Drosophila melanogaster: one gene and its partner. The protein of the gene in region 1 purifies or fractionates together with the protein of each later gene. This does not show direct contact. Each region holds a gene or a part of one and is shown on either strand. Other genes may lie near its edges.

Evidence for each region.
Region 2: the proteins of Skp2 (region 1) and Cdk2 purify together in Drosophila melanogaster (affinity purification with western blotting, with the first as the bait; one study listed by BioGRID). This does not show direct contact.

Annotation. Positions count from the first base shown.
Region 1 is NT_033777.3:4,333,347-4,341,843, forward strand, and holds Skp2 (S-phase kinase-associated protein 2), read right to left. Parts: upstream 4,329-8,497; 5' UTR 4,261-4,328; coding exon 4,202-4,260; intron 3,997-4,201; coding exon 3,123-3,996; intron 3,063-3,122; coding exon 2,663-3,062; intron 2,600-2,662; coding exon 2,440-2,599; intron 2,384-2,439; coding exon 2,197-2,383; 3' UTR 2,065-2,196; coding exon of another isoform or gene 1,771-2,064; 3' UTR 1,533-1,770; downstream 1-1,532. Other genes in the region: CG9776 (uncharacterized protein), read right to left, coding at 1-566; CG14645 (uncharacterized protein), read left to right, coding at 1,771-2,064; CG1103 (uncharacterized protein), read left to right, coding at 4,726-4,957, 5,698-6,158.
Region 2 is NT_033777.3:20,731,698-20,740,006, forward strand, and holds Cdk2 (Cyclin-dependent kinase 2), read left to right. Parts: upstream 1-3,925; 5' UTR 3,926-3,999; coding exon 4,000-4,127; intron 4,128-4,225; exon of another isoform or gene 4,226-4,315; intron 4,316-4,393; coding exon 4,394-4,589; intron 4,590-4,643; coding exon 4,644-4,754; intron 4,755-4,813; coding exon 4,814-4,975; intron 4,976-5,034; coding exon 5,035-5,232; intron 5,233-5,287; coding exon 5,288-5,437; 3' UTR 5,438-5,487; exon of another isoform or gene 5,488-5,562; 3' UTR 5,563-5,668; coding exon of another isoform or gene 5,669-6,637; 3' UTR 6,638-6,717; downstream 6,718-8,309. Other genes in the region: CG31205 (uncharacterized protein), read left to right, coding at 1-18, 76-845. UniProt on the Drosophila melanogaster protein: Like Cdk1, could play a key role in the control of the eukaryotic cell cycle.

The DNA of each region.
Region 1 (8,497 bases):
TATTGGTGACCGTAAACATCTGGTGGAGCGACGTATGATCCGTAGATATGTGCGGCCATAGCTCCATAGCCAGGGGTCATTTGAGGATGTGGTCCTCCATGCGGAGGGGGCACTGGCGGCGACGACGGTTTTTTTTTTGGTGACCATCGACCTCCCCGTCGGGGCGACATGCTGCGGGACCGGGATCGTCCGTACCGTCGTCCGCGACGTGGCGGAGAGCGCCGGCGTTCGGGGGAGCGTCGCCGATCACGATCAAAGCGCCGTCGGGAGTACCGCCCATAATCGGGCGAATCGTAACGACGACGCGGTGGAGTCAGCGAGCGGGACAGGGAATGCCTTCGCCGGGTGTTCGACGGCGATGTGTTGCGGGAATCCGACCGACCACGGGATGTGGAACGGCGCCTGGAATTCGACTTGCCGCGCTTTCCCGACCCACTGCTCCTGGGCTCGCAGTTCTCGTTTCCGCTTTTCTCATCGACGCCGGGTGGCCCTGGAAGCAGATCATGATCGACCGCGTTACCGAGACGCCTATCCCCCAGCTGTATCGTAGCCGAGTCTTCATCCATCTAAAAGCCGAAAAGTGTCTTTTCGACTTAAAAACGCAATTTTGGACTAAGATCAATAGCAGATCGGTGTTTTTCTGGCAAATTCCGAAATTACGTGTGTGAAGCAAAATAGTGCAATACAGGCGAACCTGAACCTGATAGTTATCGATACTATCGATGTTGTCACGTATTGGCCAACATCGATGACAAGGGAGTTACAATCGACGAATGTTTACTCTTTGGCTTAATAGCCTATTCACACCAAAGGCAAAAGGTAAGTTATAGTTAAATACTATTAAGTACCGACATTGGTACAAATTTGTCTAAAGTGATTTCCCAAGAAGTGTGGAAAACGCCGAAATGTCCACCCCGTTAAGCATACTAGCACCAAAAGAATTTTTACTTTTGTAACGCACTTTAAATTTCCGTTAATATATAAAAAAATTACCAATTGGAGGGATGACTCAAAATAGTTTCAATTTTATATTTCTACCCGTTACTCGTAGAGTAATAGAGTATACTAGATTCGTTGAAACAGGCAGAAGGAAGCGTTCCCGACCATATGAAGTACATATATTCTTGACCAGGATCAATAGCCGATCTGGCCATGTACGTCTGTCCGTATGAAAGTCGAGATCTCAGGAACTATAAAAGCTAGAAGGTTGAGATTAAGCATACAGATTCTAGAGACAAATACCCAGCGCAAGTTAGTTGACCCATGTTGCCACGGGTGACGGGTATCTGATAGTCGAGGAACTCGACCATAGCCTTCTCTCTTGCTTTAGTTACTTTTATATTGCTGAATCTTTAAATTTGGCAGGCTGTCCAATACGAACTTTGTTCTTGAACCTATGATTACGAACTAGATCGAAAATATTTATATTTGTCGTTTCCCTATATGATTTTGTTTTGAATTGGCTTGATTATGCTTTCCTTGATAAAAGACATATTTTTTGTTTATTTTCTTAAATATTTAATATAGTATAAAAACAATGAATTTTTAAATGGAAAATTGGGTGACTCATTGTACCTTTTTTAGTTTGAACAGATTGGAGTCAAGGGCAAGTACTGTTATCTTTTCCTTCCTCTCTCGAGTGTTTACATTAATGCCAATTTATAAAAGCATTTTCTGGTAGTAGCTGCACTTGGATACTATACCGCTGCAACTATGTAACTATAAAAGGCTTCGAGTACTTCCAGTAGACCATAGAACATTTTTTGAAAGATGAAGGTTCAGCTCGCTCTAACCTCCCTACTAGTGATTTCTTTTGGCATTGCCCTCGCCTATGATGGTGACGGACAGCCGGGTTGCAAGACCCAAGCCGAGCTAGACATTGTAGTTTTCCGCAACAATTGGGATGCCACATCGTATTGGAAGTGTGAGACACTTAACAAACCAGCCATTGAAATCAAGTGCCCCAGCGAAACAGGATTCATGGATAGTCTCAAGAACTGCGTCAACTGGGAGGAATGGGAATGGGAGAAACCAGTGGAGCCCCTTAGCGAAGCGGATCAGTGACCAAACGCACAAAAATAAGAACAGCTAAATGTGATTATTTATGTTGTTGAATTGAGAATAAAATAACTGCGTTACGGGTGGCTTACGCAGCAAAACAAATTCAAATGGTAACGGAAGCAGCAGAGTCGAGACTTAGTCGCGCGTGCGCAGACCCCAAATGGAGGTGCGTCGCGTGCCAACAGTCGGGCGGGATACCGAACTGTGAATGAATTTGTTTATACCCATTTTTGGCAGTTGTTTCTCAAGGACTTCCATTGCAGTGTCCGACAGCATCCCAAATATGTCTAAATAGGTTAGCGAGGGCATACTCTTAAGTTCACTGCAAGGAAAATGACTGGGTAGGGATTAATCAGACGCTTGCTGGAAAAATCTTACATAAATTTGGTTGCTGGAATAAGATAGCATCGGGAGACGGACAAATATTCCAGCATCTTGAACTTCATAATTGCAGTAATGACTGTTGGTGTTAGACTATTGCAATCAGATAGATCAAGCTCCAACAACTGAGGACACCGTTTTTGCAGGGTTGCAACATCTAAACAAATTAAATTCAAATCAAAAAGGAAATATATCATTGAAGACGGTGGGAACTACTTACGCGAGTCAAACAAAACGCGGCGGCAGCCAGCGATATTGAGCCGAATTAAGTTGGGGGAAATGTGGGTAACCAACGCCGTAACAGCATCCGCACTTAGGTCAGTCCACGATATGTTTAAGCTGCTTAGGCTGGTAAGTGACTCCATCATCAGGCGAACACTGTTGGACGTCAGGCCACTAGCCATAGTCAGATTGACCGCCTCCAAAGCTTCATTCTTTGCGATCTCTGCACAGATGTCATCATCGAGCTCAATATTCTCTAAGCTTATTTTCTTTAGCTGGCGGCAGTGGGACAATAGTGTCAGCAGTGAGCTTCGGGTGATGGAAGCCATACTCAGGTCAAGATATTGTAATCGGGTCCTAAACACTTCTGTATATGGTGCAAATGCGGGCTCCTGGATCTACAGTTCAAAGATTAGATGCTCTTGTTTCCCGAAAACATAATGTTAGATGTAACTTACACTAGTCTGGGCCAGACGTATTACAAGGACTCCCCGCCGTACAATTTGCTCGAGGGCACCTGGTCTAATTGTCCGCAAACCCAAATCTAGCCTTGTCCACAAAGTCTCATCGCGAGAGCAGCGGTTAAAGCGTCGACAAACGGTAGCCATGCGCAGCAGCGTCTTCTTCGGGAGCCACTTAAAGATGTCAAGTAGTATTTCGTCTGAAAGTCTTTCAAAGTAGTTTATGCCGCTGTTGATGTGGGCACTCATGGCCGGGGTGCGAAACACAAAGAAACTGTCCGCTGCCACTATTCGGGTTGTAATATTTGTTGTCGAGGGCTTTTTTGCCTGGCGAACTTGCGCCAACCTGCTGGTTGATGGCTGAAAATTGAGCGAAGCAGTCCCATCAATCTGGTTGTTACAGGTGACTGCAGCCAGGGGGTTGCGCAAACGTTTGCTGGGCGAGTTTGAATTGCCGCTACCTTCAGAACCCAACGACGAGCGCTTAGCCTGCGCCAGAATCTGCAGCTTCTCGGCCGATTGACGGGACATCGACAGTGAATCCTCCACAGCTGGGCTATCCAGTGTGATGTCCCCCGTAGAGCCCAGACTTAGCCGTTGCGTGTGCTGTAGCTGGTGCGCCATGCGCGACACACTGGCGCACGGGGTCGTCTCATTTGAGTTGTCGTCGCTGGTGGCGCTAACCGCCAAAGCGATGGCCGAGAGGGCTGAGGAGCTGCTTTCTTCGGAATCAAGCATTCCGATTCCCATCTCTTCTAGGGCCTCAAAAGTTAGTGCCGAGGGCGAGGAAGGGTGCTCGTAGTGCGATGACTTCGTAGTGGAAACTAGAGCGCCCACAACAGAGACGTGGTTCTTATTAGTCGAGCGCTTTCTGCAATAGTCGAAAATTTATTAAAAGTGTGCAGTTCGATCGTGCTTCATCAGCAGAATGGCTGATGAAAGAAAGGGTCAAGAACCCTGCAATTCAATAAGTTACTTTCTTGACCTCTTTTGGACACTTGTGGCGCGTGTGACGTCACGCGACCAGTTCAGTGGTCTGCTGCTTGAACCCACACCCCAAGCAAAGGAAAACTCACCTGGTCACCGGGCACAAATTTTCCATGTTTTCGGAGCCTCTGTGCTTGCGACTGCTCATATTTACACGAAATCTATTTTTTCACCGCCGTAAACACAAAAACTTCGCGCTATTTTTGCATGGAACCAGGGTTGTCGAGCCATTTTGGTATGAGAATTGTATCGTTATCGAATATACTAGACGGGCCGTGGTTGCCAGACCAAATCCCAAATTAATGCTACCGTACTCTTTGAGAAAAAATATCCGCTCAGTCTTCTCTTCTGAGAAAAAAACAAGGGCAAGACAGTTTATATTAATTGTTTACCTGTGCAACAATCTTTTGTTCCGCGAACAAAGACTATATTTGCAATTGATCCCGCCGACATAGTCATAAAAGGGTAAGCAATACGCTGCAAGGCCACTGGCATTGCGTCCTCCGCTTACTAACGTTTCCTACTAACTTTCTTCGCTGCAGCTGGAGTCGGGCCCTAGACATTTCTTAATGGTGAAAACAGCATAGCCTTCTACATATGCCACCGGTCTTCCATGAGCATTATCAAGATGAGCTTGCACACACGGGCGTTAGTGTTCTCCACCTTCTTTGGCAGCTGCCTGGCTATTGGCCTCTTGCTCGTCAGCATGACCACTAATCACTGGGTGCGGGCCACTCCACGCCGCAAGAACTCGTCGGACGCCAAGGGTGAATTCAACTTCGGACTCTTCTTCGGCAACTACCACCTGAATCCCGGATTCGGAGTCCGCACAAATTCGGTTGATGGTGAGCAATCAAAGTAGCCTAGATAGCAGGGAAAACTAGATAGAGAGTGATCTTCTCATTACCTGCATCGTGAATTAGCCTCTTTAAACTTCTTGGGACGCTTTCTGAATGAATATACGATTAGGAAAATGTGCTGATTATTGGGGCATGTATTAGTTGAAAACCGATATTGTCCTGGATAAGACTGTTGTTAAAAATAGATTTACTTTTAAATTTGTTTAGTTGTGAAGATCACAAACATAATCGGGCGAGTTGATAAAATTAAATACCCGAATAATACTCATGATCAGTGCAGACATATCCAAAAATTAACCATTATGTATACTTTTCGATTACATTTATTTATCTTGCAGATCCTAAGGATATGCTTAAAAATTAAATTGTAAAAACCAAAATTGTTTTTGTTTTTCTTATTAATAATCAAGTGACACAACAAACTTTAGGGCTAAAGGGAAGTTACATTCTATTTAACAAAATTGAAAAATATTGAAATTTTTGGCGCAAAAAATATAATAGAAGCGAGGACATAGGGAACCATATTTTACTTGCTTTTATATAATATGGTTGAAATTTGGGGTTTACAATTTTTAAAATTGCAAGGGTATTATATTGCGAGCCACAAATATGCAACATAGAATAAAAACGTCGTGGAAGCTTAACAGCTTTTGGAGATGCAAATAAAATATAAAATTTTTAAAGCAATCCTGTTTAACTTTTGTTATTTCACACCGTATTTTCAGTGTATACCTTTGTTCGGACAGAAAATGACGACACTAGCTTCTGGCTCTGGCTACTTACTACCTTGGGCACCGGTTTCGCACTGCTGGCCTGCGCTGTGGCTGCCATCGCCGCTGTCCTAAAGTCAGCCTCTGCGGCCAAAAAAGGAGGCACAATGATGCTGCTCCTGACTTCCAACATATGCGCCGCGGGGGCGCAAATAGTGGCGTTTGTAGCTTGGCTCGTGCAGTTCTACCAATATTTCATACACAACGTTCTTTTAACTGAGCAGCAGCAGCAGCACTGGTACAGCAATGGACTGGCTTATCTTGGTTACAGCTTTTACCTGGTCGTGGTATCCACCGTCGTTGTGCTGCTGAATATCGCCATCCTGTTGTACGCCCAGCGACTCGGCCTCCGCAACCGCCAATGCCTGGAGGCGCCATGTGACGATAAAAACAAGACCGCCATAATGCTGTACTAAGGAAGGCGAGAAGGATTCCCAAATGAACCTCTACGAAGTTGCTTGGCAAACGTACGAGCAGCGACACCTAGTAATCTCAGTGGCTCAAGTACTTGTGCCTTACTTAATGCCTTTACCTTGCCAACAACAAGGGCCGTCTATATACTCATTTCAGTTTATGGTATATTCGTTTAAATAAGCGTACAATGACTTCGCCTGACTGGCCTGCCGATCTTTCATCGGAATAAGACAAACTAAAGCGCACAGCACTGCCCACACCTATCCATATTTATATACCCTTTACATATATACATACATACAATACAATCGAATGTCATTTTTCTATAACGTGTATTTACTGCCATCGGCAGCCAAGTATTTTTATGTGCATATTTACAAATAAAGCAACAACAGTCATTGTTAAAAATTAGAAAACTCGAGCGTTTGTTTCCTAATTGGCCCATCATGTCGGGGCCAGCTCCAAGGGGAAGTGGGAATTAGCTCGTTGGAAGAGCACACGCTACACTTCCGCATGGTAAAATCCAGGAACTCCAAGAACGTAAAAAAAAGTAAAAAGGGTCCGGGTTTCTGATCGCTGATGAATTGTCCAAGAATCTTGCCTTTTCCCAAATGTCAAAACATTTCTCGAGTCGGAAACAGCCCGGACCTCACAGTGAGCGGAAAATCCAAGTGTCATTGCATTCAATTTCGCAAAGAAATCAATTATCTTTTTTCTGTGAGAGTAAATGAATATATCTGTTTCTTTTCCGGGACCTCTGACGGTTTGTGCGACCCCACAAAGAACGCGACACCTTCGACTGCTGCAGATAGAGCCAATTATGTCATCATTAGTTTAATTAGTTTTCAGGGCTCATGTTGATGGGAAAACGGCCCTGCACTTCCGGCACCACCTACTGTTTGCCTTTGGGCCCGATGTCCTGCTGGGTAACTCTCGGGTGTTTTTGGTTGGTTTTCGGTGTGATGCAGTGACATTGCGCAAGTTTTATTGATGCGTTTTTGATTGATTCTCAATCGCTGCCACCTTTGCTGGCGATAAAGAACAGGCAAACTCTCTCTGACCTTTCTGGCCCGCGACTTACCTAGGTAAGCAGCTTAGGACCACGTGTGGGTATTTGGGCAAACCAGGCGAGTCTGTTTCCACTATCTGCGTATTAAAGGTATTATGCAAGACGCGGCGTTAGGATTAGACCGCAAATTGCGTATATGCTCAGACACCGTGCAAGTACGGGCTCATTAGATGAAGAGCTCGAGCTCGGCGAGATTAGGAAGCCGACAATAAACTTATTGTGAGTGTTAATGTAAATAAACCGTCGTTTAGCGGTTTCGGAACATACCCAATCTTCCGCCTAGGATCTGCGGGCAGACCCCTGGAAAATACGATCGCAACCCGCTAAAGCCGCAGGAATATCGTCAAACTGGGATTCTTGAGCAACTCCGAAATGCCAGAGGAAGCCTATGCAAACATAATTAACTGGAAAGTTTGGTAATCGAATGCAGGAACTTATCAATAGAAATACCACAGCGGTCACCACCCACGTTGATGCCGCCTACTGCTGGGGACGGAGGCGACAACACTCTCTCGGTCCGCTTGTTTACATGAATTGGACTATAGTTTTTTTATAGAGCAGGACTCCTCTATGCAACTGAATAGCATTTCCAGAACCGCAAAACAAGCAGGCTGAAGAAATCAGGGGCTGTTGCTCCTGACGGCCAATAAATTTCCCAATTAAATGGATCCTCTGACACGTCGTACAGAAGGCTTCTATACCTCCTGCCCTCGGGTGGGCCCTGTCCCGCTTGCTCTCATTCATCCCTGTGCATGCCACAAGGGATGAGGGTTGCTGGGCCAGGGGTTGAAAATGAAACAGTCATCACAGCACTGACTCGACTGAGGAGAACTGGCGCTGGGAAAGGTAGCCGACACCATTTTTTATTCGACGCACTCTTTGCCCGTTTCGATCCTTGGGTTTTCGCACTGCTTCTATTTCAGTTCCTATTGTGGCATTGCGAAATTATGGCCCGTATATTTCTCTATTAGTGATACAAAGGATATTTCAATTCCTCGGCATGAGCGCTCTGGGTGGGCAGGATAGTGTCTCTGATAGTCCTGGCAATTAGCTCCTTGCAAACTTTCTGCGGACCACCCGAAAAATCTTGAATCTTGTTTGGCCTCTTTGTGGTTATGAATGGCCAGTGTCCTACATTGTTTCACGATGTCAGGTTATACATAGGTTATACATAGATAGCCAAACTACTTTCTTGTTAGGAAATAATTTCTTTCGATCTGATATTGTCTGTGAAACAATGCAGTATTATTCGGAAAATTTAGAGCAATTTTG
Region 2 (8,309 bases), about 16 Mb from region 1:
TAACCACTTTACATCCAAGTAAGTTTTCTTGAAACTTTTAAGCTCTCTTAAAACTTATAAATGCTTAAACTCTAGCAATCCAAGCCGCCTCCGTAGGCCAGGAATGTGGGATATTTAATGAGAAGCAGTACAATAGTGACAATATCATTGCGGAGCCTACCGAACATCCTTGGGTTGTGCGGATCGTAGGAGTGACTAAGGATGGCAGCAACACATTGCTCTGCACTGGCATTCTTATCGATTCCAGACGCGTTGTGACCGCAGCTCACTGTGTTTCAAAGGATGAATCGGAAAGCATTTATGGCGTTGTCTTCGGGGATTCCGACTCTAGCAATATCAATCTTGTCAGCGCAGTCACTGTCCATCCAGATTACTCACCTAGGAAATTCGAAAACGACTTGGCCATAATAGAGCTGACCAAGGAGGTGGTGTTTTCAGACTTGGTTCAACCAATTTGCTTGCCTTCAGTATCCGAAATGGTTCCAGGAAGTGAAACCTCCAATTCAAAGCTTATCGTTGCCGGACTGGAGGGACCGTCATTCGACCGAAGGCATTCGGCAACTCAAAGGTTAGACAAACGCATTAAAATGACATACACTAAAATTGACAGCAAGGAGTGCCATGAGAAGCAAGCCCGCTTTCCGGAGGAACTGATCTGTGGCCACACCGAGAGGAGTCCTCTTTCAGGATCAGCTTTGACCGAGGCTTCGGGTACTCCACGCCAATTTCATCTGTTGGGAATTGCGGTTGCTGGATTCTTCTCGTCTGACCTAGATCACCAAGGGTACTTAAACATTCGACCCCATCTAGATTGGATTTCGAAGAATTCCTCAAAGTTAAGATAAAATAGCATATCGTTTTACATCAAAATCCTAAAGCTTTTTAAATATATTGTACCTAAAGCTTTTACTATTTTTCTAAATATTTGAAAACTAAAAAGACAGAATAAGTTTTTTAATGTGCATCCGCTAGAGGATCTAAAATTGACTCAAGTTACAACTCAAGTTTAGATATTAATTAATTAAAAAGTCTCTAGGTAAAGAAGAGTTTCCAACTTTTCTCATTAGTAAAAAGATTTTTAATTTTTGGCAACCAAGCTGTGACTTTTGACAGGTGGGTTTATAAATAAGGAAGCAAAGTCTTTTGCCAAATTCGTGGTTATCCATTTGGCCGCGTTTAGTTGCTGTTGCTAAAAATTGAGAGCGCTTTCGGGTTATTTGCGCAAAGTTGCCGACTCCTGACCCAAACCCAAATGCATAAATCACGCGAAGCCCCAAAACACAGTGGGTAGTCCTCGCTATTGGGTTGTCCTCCGCACGGAATTCAATTCACATTGGCCCCAAACTTTTGCCATTAGGCAAGCGCGCACTCCTTCTGTTTTTTGGGGAAATGCAGTTTTTCGACACTTGGCTGGCGCCAAAAGCCTTAAGTACACATCAACTGCAAATAATTTATGTTCTCAAGCCACTTGCTTTCATCTCAACCGGTGCAGTAGAGCAACCTTATCGAGTGGCAGCCATGGAATATGGTAATTCTGGAGAAGCTGCAGTCATAAATTCATTGAAATGAAATGCGAAGTACTCGTAATCGAAGCACTCGGCTGCAAGGTTTACAGTGCCAATGAATCATGTCTAATTTTCGATATCGGAGCGACATGAGTACCGATCGAAGTGGCTGAAGGATTCGGTGAGGTCGTCATCAAGCATACGGCCCGTGGCCCGGAATGATTAATGTGCCATAAATGTGCGCGCCAAAAACATTCACAGCTAGAGCCTAAGCACGCGAAAAATAAACGCAGAGGCGAAAGCAAATTAAAATACGGATTTTTATGGCACTTTTTTTATTGCAACACGTAAAACACAAATTGAGACAAGATGGAGTGGAGTGTAAGCGAATTGCGTGCGCCTGCCACAAGCAATTACAATTACAATTTTAAATGCAACGCACATAAAATGCACGGAATGTCTTTTTAAACGATAAGGGTCCGCAATTACATGGCAAATCTCGCACTCCGGAATTAACTCAGTTGTAGCCCAACATTTTAACATACCACAATGCTAAACGGAATGCATGGCGATATGCTCTCATTCAAATTGGCTGCTATTTTGGTCACATTATCGTTAATGACTCTAGGAAGTAGGCATTGCATTTAAATCTCGCTGATCCCCGCCTTTATTCTCAAAGACCCTTCTCCTCTGGCCAGCAGTTCAAGAAAATGATCGAGTGCAAGACCAGTAAACCGAGAAGATAGTCGAGAGCAATTCAACTGGCTGGGCAGGATTAGGTACACCAGGTCAGCTGGTTGGGTGTGGTATCCCTGCTCCGGAGTGGCCGTAACCATGTCCTTGTGCCTGCTCACTGTGTTATATTCCTGGATAAGGGCGATGCCTACAGCTTTATGTTTGGAAACAGAAGTCGCCTTTTTTATTCACCCAGAGTATCGTTCCGTCTTACGATGTTGCCGTCCTTAAACTGAACTCCCAACTGAGATCCTGTTTGTCTGTATCGGAGGATACAGATTCCCATGACGTGATCGCCCGACTATTCAATGTGGTCAGTACGCTGGTGGATAAGCATCCGAAAAGCCTTCATACCCTGGCCAGAGTCACGAGTGCGTGCGTACACCAGGATAAAGATTTCCTAACTGGTGCAGCTCTATTTGGGATGAAAATTGTAGATGGATCTGAAGCTTGGCATCTTTTGTGAATATCAACGCACGGCCAGTACGAAAGAAACCACAAGATACCAATAATTGGATTGGGAACCATCTTAGTCTATAACTAAGTGTCCGGAAGAAATGTAAAAATGATTGAAAATAGTAGATAAATGGCATTTACTAATCATTAAATTCAGAACAAAGTTTCATTCAAAGTTAAAGAGTCCTCTTCACACATATTGTATGTACATACTTAACTAAATACCTGTTGGAAAAGTAGATTGCATTGCGACAATAAGAAACACCTTCACACTTTATCTGCAAGAGGTTATTGTTCTCAGTGTGCAAAATCATTGTGATTTCCTCGATCGGAAAATACTTTGTTGTGAGCGAGATGACAGTAAGCGAGGTTCTACTGGTTATACTGGTTATGCGTAAGTGATGTAACCCAATTACTTTATTATGCTTATCTACCAATTTTCTTTATTTATACTTATAAGCCACTGGTATAATCACTGAAGTTCAGCGCTGTGGAAGACCGTTGGAAAATCAGCTTTACAACGACAAAACATTCGCGGAACAGGATGAGCATCCTTGGCTGGGACGTATACTCTTCAGGGATGGAAATCAATTTACCACCTGCTATCGCTGCACCGTCGTACTGCTCAATCCGCGTCGTGGCCTAGCGCCAGCTCTCTGCGTGGATGGAAGGACCAAAGACCCTTATTCTAGTGTCTTTGGAAGGACCATCCGCGGAGCTCCTTTGCATCCAGACGCTATCCTGGCAGGAGTTCGCCTAGTAAATGGGGAACCGAGACAGTACTATATTATCCGGCAGCTCTTGGCCAAATTTGATTCGGTTTTTTCAGGAGCAGATCTTTTCATGTACATCGCACCCTACATTAATTGGATAGAGGCGAGAATCAACGTATTAAACGAACGTCACATTTCATTAAAAACATATATTTAATTAGTTAAAAGAGTAAATTTAGAAACCATTAAGAAACTGCATAAATACGATTTTTGCTTTAACTTTATTTATCAATTTTAAATGTCTTGATCCAACTGTGATAGGCATTAACGGGTCTCAACGGTTAATTTTATTTTTTATTTTAAAAGTTTTGTGCAAAGAAGAAAACAATACATTTAAAATAGGGGTAGTCAACCTTAGAGCTGTCACATCGCAGAACAATCGATTAAGGAATTCTTATCGATATGTGGCGCTGCTGTGCGACTTATCGGCGGTTGCATGAGAATGGCTAGCATCACCAAAGAAGAAGAATTTCCCTCCAAAATATTAGTTTATTTTGCCAACATCGATCTCAAGGATTGTTTACGAGGTTATGACCACCATTCTAGATAACTTTCAACGCGCCGAAAAGATTGGCGAGGGCACCTACGGTATAGTTTACAAAGCGCGTAGCAACTCCACCGGCCAGGATGTGGCCCTCAAAAAGATTCGGCTAGAAGGGTGCGTAATCCAGGTGGAGCAGGACTGTGATGCTGTTCATGGCAACCATAGGAAATATTATGTGACATATGGACATATTATCCTTGACGAATGTCATCCACCTGCACCCCGCAGCCCGAATTATGTGGGAGCTGCGCCGTTTCCGTAATCCGTAGCACCACATGATTCGGCTTCGTGGTACAGGATATCATCGGTTTTTGCTAGCAAACGGGTAATCACGATTGCCAGTATTTAGCTTTATTTAATAGCATAATTCCGATTCACAGCGAAACGGAGGGTGTTCCTTCGACGGCCATTCGAGAGATCTCCCTGCTGAAGAACCTTAAGCACCCAAATGTGGTCCAACTATTTGACGTAGTCATTTCCGGCAACAATCTGTACATGATATTCGAGTACCTGAACATGGATCTAAAGAAGCTGATGGATAAGAAAAAAGACGTGTTCACCCCTCAGTTGATAAAGGTAAGTACACTAGTTTGCAGCCCATTAAAATATTTTCACATTGCCACTTTGCAGAGCTATATGCATCAGATATTAGATGCCGTCGGCTTTTGCCACACGAATCGTATCCTGCATCGCGATCTCAAGCCCCAGAACCTTCTCGTAGACACGGCGGGCAAAATAAAGGTGAGACTAAAGGTTTTACCCGCTGTTGGTTCTGTGATAATAACGAATTCCAACTCCAGTTGGCTGACTTTGGCCTAGCAAGGGCCTTCAACGTGCCTATGCGGGCGTACACACACGAAGTCGTCACCCTCTGGTACCGAGCTCCAGAGATTCTGTTGGGCACGAAATTCTACTCCACGGGCGTGGACATCTGGAGTCTAGGCTGCATTTTCTCTGAAATGGTAGTGTTATATGGAATGTACATTCCAAGCGGATCTGATTACTAAACCTAGAATTACAGATTATGCGCCGCTCCTTGTTTCCTGGAGACAGCGAGATCGATCAACTTTATAGGATTTTCCGTACCTTAAGCACACCTGATGAAACAAATTGGCCTGGTGTGACGCAGCTGCCAGACTTTAAGACCAAGTTCCCTAGATGGGAGGGAACTAACATGCCACAACCCATAACCGAACACGAGGCGCACGAACTCATAATGGTGAGTGCAGAAAATGTACATCCCCAATGGAAATCCACTACTCTGTACCTTACAGTCAATGCTGTGCTATGATCCCAACCTGCGCATCTCAGCCAAGGACGCACTGCAGCACGCTTACTTCCGCAATGTGCAGCATGTTGACCATGTAGCCCTGCCTGTAGATCCCAATGCCGGCAGCGCTTCGCGTCTAACGCGGCTCGTCTGATCGTGTCCAATAGCCCCAGATCTAGCAAATTACTTGTGTTTTCTAGTATAGTAAGTTCGATGTCTATCTCACTATCTTTAAGGCGAAACTAGTAAAATTATTTGAATATCTAATCTATTTTACAGCTGCCACCTCATTATCATGCATTCCCCATCCTAACTCGCACGTAACATACGATAAATACACGATCATCCATAAGTAAAGAGTTTATAGTTTATAGCTTAGCATGGATTACCAGGAGCTCAGCCGGGCAAGGTGTCGTTGATGATGGCGTGGCGAAACTTTGGCGGCGGAATCGTTAGCCCCTGCTGCATCGCTAGCGAGTCTCTGGCGCTGGCGGGTGTGGCTATCGTCGCGCATATACGTGCCAAGAGTATTGCGCATGCTCTCGGAGAGCGGTGAATGGGCTTCGACATCACCATCGTCGTCATCGCTAGTCGGTGCATCGCTCGGTGCGCTGCTGTCTGTTTCCTCTGCTGCATCTTCATTCTCAATGGGATGCTCCGGTTTGCTGACTTCTAATAGCTTCGTCAATGATTGGCCCTTGGCCGACAATAGGGGCAGTGGTCGAAGTAGGGTCACCTTTCTGGTTCCGAGTCTTCTCATTACGGGCGCCTCTTCCTCATGCTCGCCTTCCACATCCTCTGCCTCCCTAGGCGGCGGAATAAAAAGCTGCCGTAAAAATTAGATTGGAAATCCTGAGGACTGAAGCGCTGTACTCCGTAGTAGCTACCGGAATTGGTGTCGTAGAAGAACATCGGCTCGGCGGACCGCGGCGGAGAAGGTGGCACAAAGTAGGGATCGTAAGGGCTGTAGGCATCATCGTTCTCCGCCGAGTCGTAGCTCGGTCGGCGCTTTTGTTGCTTGCGGCGCTTTCGCTTGCGTTTTTTGGTAGCCTGTGAGGCCACTTGAGCTGGTTCCTCAAGCTGCAGCTCCTGATCTTCATCGTAGGACTGCAGATAAACCGGCGACGTCTCGATGATGTTCGTACTGCCATCGTTAAAGAAGTTGGCCAACGGATTGGTCAGGTTACGGAAACTGAAAGCGGGCTGAACACTGCGGACGAAGCTATTCCAAACACGAACCAACGGGCGTTCAGTTGTTGTAGGAGCTGCTTTTCCCAGACTATGAATATAGCGCCTTCTGTATCCACCACGAGCACTCGGCAACAGGACATACTCGATGGGATAGTTTCTGGAGCTAGAATAAAAATTTCGTTCAAAGTTTAACTTTAAAATGTCATAGTTATACTTTTTTCAACTCAAATATAATTGTTTTATAAAAAAATGTATCCTATATAAGCATATAGTTGTTTGAATTGTTTATGTGATATCTATAATATGCAATAATAATCTACTATGAATTATTGGATTAAATAAGGTTCAGAAAATACCAAAAAGTGGTTATATAAATGTCATATCTGTCGAAAATCAAAACTTCATTGTTAGTCGTCAACGTTTGCTCACCCAATCTTTGCCTGCTTTTGCGGCAAGCGTCGCTCCATCTCGTTTGCGGATATCCTTACTCCTTGCGAAGGACAACTCCATGCTACAAAAAGCACTAGGGCAGTAAACAATTGCCACTGCATTGCTGTATACAATATGTTCGTCGGGCTTACTATATAGTATTTCGAATGCGTCCGTTACCGTTCCCGGTCGAAGGGAAACTGAAACTCATCCGAATCGCGAAATCAGTGGTCAACAGCTCGACGGTGATGCCTTTGTCTTTTTGACCAGCTCGTTGGATTAGTTTTTATTGGTTCACAGAACGGTTAGCCACAGTCTTAGCCAAATTGATTTGTAATGGCATTGTCCCGAGCCCCAGATCATTTCCAAAGCTATGGCCATGTTGGTGGCCCTAACTCATGCCGACACTAAGCCAACTAACCCAATTTGGAGACCATCTTCATATCTCCCGCGGGGCTCGTTGGCAGCTGCCAATCTCGCCCATGCATATGTAAATGGATTTTTATAGATTACACAATTAATACGCCATTCAGTTCTTGGCTGCGACTGAAAAACTCGTTTGCTGGCGGGTTCTGATTTCGAAATTTTATGCTAAGCTGTCTGGGATGAGTCGTCGGCTTGCGAAATGCTTTCTCCTGACGAATTTATGCTTATGGGGTCTTCTCCTTATCAAGATTTTACGATCTATATAAACATATGGGTGTATTAATGGATGCACCGTCTAGGCAGCTCCTATTTTTTATGGCATAACTATGCTGATTGTGGTGGCAGCCCTAAATAGACACATTAGATAGATTTGACAAATTTGTCAAATTTTATTACTGATGAAATTGGAGCATGGAGATATGATATGTTTTCGTCAAAGGGAAATCATGTGAAAGAAATATCACACTTTCTAAAGATGTTGCTTGAAATAAAAAATTGTGTTAAGCTCCTTAAAATAATAAATTAAAGTTTTACCTTTTGCACAGATTGCTCAATCAAGAGACACCAAAACAAAAAGTTTTTAGTAGTAATCCCTTAAATCAATTCTGAATTGGTTGCATAAAACAAACAACATTTACTAATACTAATTTAAATATAATAATATAATATTCTTTAGACTACGTAAATAGAACAAAATAAAATCTATGCACACAAGAAGTTGCTTAACTGGAAAAGTAATATAAAATGGCCATGATAAATTTCTCTTTGTCGTTTTTTTCTATGAAGCAAAGCGATATTATTGGCTTAATATAACTTATTTTTGCTCCGGCAATCACGAAATGTGAAAATCCTTATCAGCCCAAATCGCAAGCAATTTATTGAGTCCTTTTGAAGCCGCGAAATGCAACGACAAAAGCAAAACGAAAACAAAAAGCAAAAAGAAAAGAGCAAAGAAAATTCCTAACAAGTGTTTTTCTTTG